Linked DNA regions of Saccharomyces cerevisiae S288C. Changing the gene in region 2 together with the main gene of any one other region gives a genetic interaction. Each region holds a gene or a part of one and is shown on either strand. Other genes may lie near its edges.

Region 1 (3,547 bases), on a different chromosome or scaffold from region 2:
GAAGAAACCGTTGGTAAAAGGTAGTCTTTATCCTGAAGGACCTGTCAGTTACAAACGGAAGCACCCCGTAAAATCGGACAGTTTATTGCCTGTGTCTTCGTTAACAGCTGCTACAGACCCATCTACTTTTTCTGACGGTATAACTGCTGGTAATTCCGTCCTAGTTAATGGTGAACTGAAAAAACGTATATCCGACTTGAAGACCACCGTAATAGTAAGAGGACTAAACGATGATAATCCCAACTCTATCAATAACGATCCCAGGATTTTAAAATCTCTTTCCAATTTCTATAAGTGGCTGTATCCAGGTTATTTTATTTTTGTTCACAGAGAAAGTTTTCTTTATGGATTCTTCAATCACTCCAAGAATAACTATGAAGACTCAAGTTACTGTTCTGTCGAATTGATATATGCCATGTGCGCTGTCGGTTCGAGGCTTACACCGGATCTACAAGAATATTCAGAAGTGTATTATCAACGAAGTAAGAAGACTTTATTACAGCTCGTCTTTGATGAGCAAAGTACAGCCCGTATCACCACCGTCCAAGCGCTATTTTGCTTAGCCTTTTACGAACTGGGGAAGGGTAATAATCAATTAGGGTGGTACTTCTCGGGCCTGGCTATCAGGGTCGGCTACGACATGGGATTTCAACTGGACCCTAAAGTCTGGTACGTTGATGATAACAATCTGCAGCTGACCCAAAGTGAGTTGGAAATAAGATCAAGGATTTACTGGGGTTGCTATATAGCGGATCATTTTATTTGCCTGATGTTGGGTAGAACGTCCACATTAAGCGTTAGTAACTCAACCATGCCAGAGTCGGATGAGCTGCCAGAAGTCAACGGCACCGAAGAGTTCAGATTTATTGGAAGACATGTTTTACAGATATCCTTGCCTCTGAAAAACTTGATAATTCTATCAAGGCTTGTACAAATCTTCACCTCTAAAATTTTCATCGAGTCGGAAGATATAGCACGAAAACTAAAGTACTTGAACACTTTCAATTCTCAGGTTTACAACTGGAGACAATCTCTACCGGAATTTTTGCAATGGTCGAAAACACTCATCGAGAACGATGACGTATCCACAGACCCCACTATATCTTACTTCTGGTATTGCTACTACATAGTGCGGCTCACCTTTAACAAGCCATTTATAGAAGACTCTCAAGAATCCGAAACGGTAGTCATAGAGATCATCGATGATTTGAAGACTTTGCTGGACAATTTCGGGAAAAAATTCGGAAACTACACGAAGGGAAACCTTTACCAACTTTACTCATGCCTGTTGGCCATCAACTGTTTGAAGAAGTTGAAAGAGATACGTTCCAGTGAGCAAGACTCATGGAATGCACAATTGGATTTTTTCAATCACATCTTCTACACACAACTATATCCCGCATATGATCTGCCGAAAAAGCTGCAGGAGGATACGGAGCTGGAAACAGAACAAGAAAACCAGATGTTGAACCAAGTTGGAAATATAAACTACACGCACGATTTTTCACTCTCCCACGAAATTGACGATCTTATCAGAGAACTGTTTGGGGTGGGCACACCTCAAAAACTCTGACGATCTTTATATTTGTCACCTTTTCCGTATCGGCGGCTAAAAGGCGATGCGGTGCACAGGCGCGGGGTCCCTGGGAAAAAGAAATGTTCAAATTAACATTTCTTTTTCTTGTTTTGTGGCTCTTCTAGAAGGATTTTTAATCAGCATAGCCTGCGTTAAAATTTTTTACCGGATCTTATATATCTAAGACATCTACTCTGTTTAAATACTTAACGAACATCATAGAGAATCAACTAATAATATAGATTAGAAAAGAGAATTTTTTTCGACTGCGATGCTAGATAACATGCAATTTCATTCTCCAGCACCGGAACATCCTCAATTGAATGGGGGTATTAACAAAATTCCCGCTTCCCACAAAATAGGTTACAAATTAAACCAGCAAGTGCAGAGATTGGCTGTGGTCAGGAATAATATTGAAGAGAGATTGAACTCGATGGAATCCTCACACGGACAGATATCCGATAGTAGCGTTGTCCGTGCTATCGATGCAAGTATCGATGACTTCCTAATACCTTCACCTCCATTATCGCCAAAGCTGAGGCAATGCCCCATAATAAGCCAGCCTCAGCTGGTTAATGTGGAAAGCGACCATAGGGAGCTGATCATGTTGACCCCCGTTTGGGAAGCGGGCTTGAACTCTCAGAAGTACAACCATAATACAAGGAATTTCTTATCGCAATATAGCTTCTTCCGAGATATGAAAACAACGAAAAGGATTCCTAACAAAGAAAATAGGAAATTGAAAGTGGTAAAATCTGTTGTGAACTCAGAAGCTCTGCCCAAGAGAAGAAGATACGATAGGAAAATTAAGAGAAGATCAAGGGAGTTGTACGAAGATGATGGAAACAGGTCAGAAAACTATGATGAAGAAAGTGCTCAAGAAGTTCCAGTTAGATCAGTGACTCCGATACGTCAAGTTAAAAGGTCTCTTCATACTATTTCTTCGCCATTGGCCTCACAGGGCGTAGTGAATAATGTCCCCAAGTATATTCCAAGCATGTCGTGGGAAAAGTTGCCGGATTACTCACCTCCTCTTCACACTTTGCCGAATAGTAATAATAAAGTTTTAAAAGTGGAATGGAAAGGCTCTCCAATGGACTTGAATCATGATCCTCTCAAACAGCGTCTGCATCCTGCAGAACTAGTTCTCGCACAGATTCTGAGACTTCCATGTGATCTTTATTTGGACTCTAAAAGAAGATTTTTCTTGGAAAAAGTTCATAGATTCAAAAAGGGGTTGCCGTTCAGGAGAACGGATGCTCAAAAGGCTTGTAGAATAGACGTTAATAAAGCATCAAGGCTATTTGCAGCATTTGAAAAGGTAGGTTGGTTACAAGATAAACATTTTGAAAAGTATTTGTAAGAAAGAGGCGGTACGCCTTTGGGATAGCGTATCGTTTCATCGTTTAAACGAGCAAATTTGATAAGTACGGAATATGACAGTCTCATTGAGTAATACAGAATTGAGGCGTTTAAATGGTTATGGTTAAGGGTTACGGTTACGGTTTTTTATTCTTAGAACACATTTGATATATTTTTATTTATGGTTTTTTACATATAGATTTCGTTCATATATGAGGTTTTCTTTTTATATTAATTATATTTCTTCGGTTGTTACGTTATCAATTTTGTTATTGAATTATTACGGGTTATGAACGCCGTAGAAAAATAGCATTGGAGTTTGAGAGTCTGTGGCTTTTCTGTCACATCATTTTTTCGTCTAACTTAGGTTAACTCAGTAATCGTCGATTTCTTCATAACAGGCCAGGACCTTTTTTCTGTATTCCTCCATATCTGCATCCCAAAGTTCTGCTGCCACAGCGTTCAGCGGAGATCTGTTATTTGGTTCGCCAAGTAATGACTGCAATGACAATAGAATTGTTTCTACATTATACACTGCAGACCATTTCTCTTTCAGAATGTCCAAACAAATGTTGCCACTCTTATCCACGTTTGGATGCCACATTGGAC
Region 2 (4,078 bases):
GTGCCGATCCTATGAAGTATTAATACGTAATGCCAAAAGGAATTGTTGAACATCTGAAGTGGATAGATTAATCGTACAGTAATCGTACAGTACTATGTCTTACTGATGTCGGGAATCTCAGGGGCGACCGCCCCCGGCTAGAATTATCTATATAACGGTAAAAAGAATAAAACTCTATTCTAGTTCTCGCCATTTACCTTGACTTTAATGAACCAATAAAAGAAATTTCTACAACCAAGACATCCAGAATGAATACAGACCAACAAAAAGTGAGCGAAATATTTCAGAGCTCAAAGGAAAAATTGCAGGGCGATGCAAAGGTAGTGAGTGACGCTTTTAAGAAAATGGCTAGTCAAGACAAGGACGGCAAGACTACCGATGCTGATGAAAGTGAAAAACACAACTATCAAGAGCAATACAACAAGCTCAAAGGGGCGGGGCATAAGAAGGAGTAGCTCTGTTGTCCTACTATCGATTATTTGTGCCAGCGGGCTCTGTTAGGTTGAGGGTGGAAAGTGTAGAAAAAGCAGACCTATTTGCCAGCGGATACATAGCCACAGCTCATACATAAAATTTTCATACTTAAGTCTAAACACAATAATATATTTTTTTTATCGAAGACATCCAAAAACTTAGTAATCGTCGTCACCACCGTATTGATTACGACCGCCTCTATTAGATGAACCATAAGAGTCATCATTGTTGGATGAACCGTAGTTGGAAGACCCATAGGAGTTCTTGTTTCTATTAGAGGAACCGTAAGAGTCGTCATTGTTGGAACCGTAAGAGTCATTGTTGTTGCTGGAGCCGTATGAATCATCGTTGTTGGAACCATAAGAACTCTTCTTTTTGTTAGAAGAACCGTAGGAATCATCGTTGTTAGAACCATACGAATCGTTGTTGCTGGAACCATAAGAACTCTTCTTCTTGTTGGAAGAACCATATGAATCATCATTGTTAGAGCCATAAGAATCGTCATTGTTGGAACCATAAGAACTCTTCTTCTTGTTGGAAGAACCGTAAGAGTCGTCGTTATTGGAAGATCCGTAAGAATCATCGTTGCTAGAAGAACCGTAAGAGCTCTTATTCTTGTTTGACGAACCGTAAGAGTCGTCATTGTTGGAACCGTAAGAGTCATTGTTGTTGCTGGAGCCGTACGAATCGTCATTGTTAGAACCATAAGAGCTCTTCTTCTTGTTGGAAGAACCGTAGGAATCATCGTTGTTAGAGCCATATGAATCATTGTTGTTAGAACCATATGAATCATCGTTGTTAGAACCATACGAATCGTTGTTGCTGGAACCATAAGAACTCTTCTTCTTGTTGGAAGAACCATATGAATCATCATTGTTAGAGCCATAAGAATCGTCATTGTTGGAACCGTAAGAGCTCTTATTCTTGTTTGACGAACCGTAAGAGTCGTCATTGTTGGAACCGTAAGAGTCATTGTTGTTGGAACCGTAAGAGTCATTGTTGTTGGAACCGTAAGAGTCATTGTTGTTGCTGGAGCCGTACGAATCGTCATTGTTAGAACCATAAGAGCTCTTCTTCTTGTTGGAAGAACCGTAGGAATCATCGTTGTTAGAGCCATATGAATCATTGTTGTTGGAGCCATATGAATCATTGTTGTTAGAGCCATATGAATCATTGTTGTTAGAACCATATGAATCGTTGTTATTAGAACCATATGAGTCGTTGTTGTTGGAGTCGTTGTCATTTATAGAGGTATTAGAAAATTGTTGACGAACCTTGGACTCCATCTTATCAAATCTGTCCTCTCCGATTTTGCTTTTGAATTGATTGACTCTATCTTCGCCGATCATATTCTCAGCTTTGGTAACATAATCGCCTTGATTGTTATTGCCAGAATCATTGTTGTTATTATTGCTGTTAGCAAATTGCTTCACTTTATCAAATAAACCCATTGCTGTTTTTTTCGTTCACTTATAATACCGTATATATCAGTCTATTAAAGCCCTACTCTACAAAAGAAAAAATTAATTGTAAGACATTTTCGAGAAATTCTTTTTTTATTACATAAAAATTAATGCCTTCTTATATAATGGAAAGGGGGGCGTTGTTAAATGAAATCTCAACGTGGTTGTAAGAGTTCTTGTACGACATTCTTTTCCTTTTTCCCTTTTTCGTCGGTGCCAAGCTTGTATGGCCACAGCTAAGGGGCGATTTGTCATCCTCGAACCTTCGGAGTGGTTTTTTCACCTTCCCGAAGGTTTTTAAAATCAACCACGCCAAAACTGTGGTGGGCCAGGCCAGCACCGGAAACCGCTTTGTACGCATTGATTTACGTCATATGCACCCTTCTCAGAATAAGAGATGTGTATGATTCGTACTTTTCAATCTCAAAAAGAAAACAGCACTAACGATTTTTGTAGATTTACAGAATGTATTTATGTTACACTTGTTTTTTCCTTCCTTCCTATGATTGTAAACGATTATTTACTATCGTACGTGCCTATATTCCAGCAAGGCTCTCTTGCAACCAGCCAATGGTTCTTTTCTTTACTTCGCCATCCTCATCATCTTTATATAGCCTTTTGTTCTCTAAGGTTTCTATCATCTCTTGTGCCGTTTTACCTCTCTCCATACCGTTCAGAATGAACTTGTACAATCTTTTTCGCCTTGAAAAGGTCTTCTTATTTTTATTGAGCCTCCACTTGTTACCATACTTGGCCTCAAGATGCTTGATCGATGGCTTTCCTCTTATTCCAGTATCATACTCTTCCCATATAGTCTTTACGTCAGTGGGAGCCTTCAATATCCTATAATGTAAATCAGAGTTTATGTTGGGCTTAGTAGCCGACTCGCCGTGAAGCTTTCTTCTACCGTTTAAAGAGTTACTTTTTTTATGATGCAAGCTCCTCCTCCGCTTGTTAATCGAAGCGTTCTTCATATCTGTTTCGATTTCATCATCTACTTCATCTTCCTCAGCAGTGCTGTCTTCTTCATTATCCCTTCCATCACCTTCGTCATCACCGTCATCATCATCATCCTCTTGATAGCCATCATCGTCGACATTACTTTTCACTGTCATTGGTTTTGGGTACGACGGTAGAGTAGAAGCTCTGTTTCTATTTACAATATTCGTGTTCACCCCTGACTTACCACTCGGTAACAATTCAGATGTCGTGCTATCCTGATTGATCAATTGGGAAAATGATAGAGGCTGCTGGGTATTATTTATAATAGGGGGTATAACATTTTGATTTGGGGGAAAAGAAGCGTTATCTAGGGCTAAGCTGGGCAAACTTAAAGCTGTTGTCGTGCCAAAGTTATTCAATGAATTTAAGTCATGAAATGAATTTGAAGCACTGGTGACGCCTGAATGAATGGAAGAATTGGTATAATTCATGCTAGTTGTAGAATTATGAGAATTCGTTAATGGAGATAGGGCTGATATGGGCTTTTGTGCAGCACTAGCATGGTCATTTGTGCTCGCATTGTTGTTACTTTGCGTATTTCTTCTGCGCCGTTTAATCCCATTTGGGTTCAACTTGAATGGCTTGTCAGTTGAAGCGTTCGGGAAACTAATAGGCGAGCGATTTACCTGCTGATGTGTATTTGTGTTATGAATTAAAACCTGCGACTGGTTCTGATTGGCTTGTGTGTTTATAACAGGACCAAGTTGTCGGTTAGGGAGCGATTGGTTTATATTTTGGGAAACATTATTTCGATTATGCTGCTGATCAGGTAAGATAGTATTTAGTGCGTTAGAAAATTGGTTGTTTAGCTGTGCAGTATTCGTATTCACATCTATGGTTCCATTCGTAGTCCGATGCTGGTTGATACCAGAATGGGTGTTGGAATCTCCTGTACATAAATCAGCAGTATGCTGTCTACCAGAGCCATTATTCTGCATTTTCTGCAAGTAAGCACTACTAACGGCTGATATCGAATTTAGCAATTCGATAGCAAGCTTATTTTGGGCATTGTTTGTGCTTGGGCGCGCGCTTGGCTGCGCAACCAACTTAAGTAATATATTCAATTTGTTCATAACTTTATAGTTATCTTGTTTTAGGTTTAAAACCATTGTATTCTGTTCCGCGATCTTATTAGATAA

What was found.
Region 1: mutations in DDR48 (region 2) and YOR338W together harm fitness more than expected from each alone (negative genetic interaction), as found in Saccharomyces cerevisiae (one large-scale study listed by BioGRID).

The regions. Positions count from the first base shown.
Region 1 is NC_001147.6:955,051-958,597, forward strand, and holds YOR338W (uncharacterized protein), read left to right. Parts: upstream 1-1,847; coding exon 1,848-2,939; downstream 2,940-3,547. Other genes in the region: TEA1 (Tea1p), read left to right, coding at 1-1,573; putative E2 ubiquitin-protein ligase UBC11, read right to left, coding at 3,312-3,547.
Region 2 is NC_001145.3:606,536-610,613, reverse strand, and holds DDR48 (DNA damage-responsive protein 48), read right to left. Parts: upstream 1,926-4,078; coding exon 633-1,925; downstream 1-632. Other genes in the region: PAI3 (Pai3p), read left to right, coding at 249-455; HOT1 (Hot1p), read right to left, coding at 2,474-4,078. UniProt on the Saccharomyces cerevisiae protein: DNA damage-responsive protein that may be required for maintaining the rate of spontaneous mutagenesis. Shows low ATP and GTP hydrolysis activity.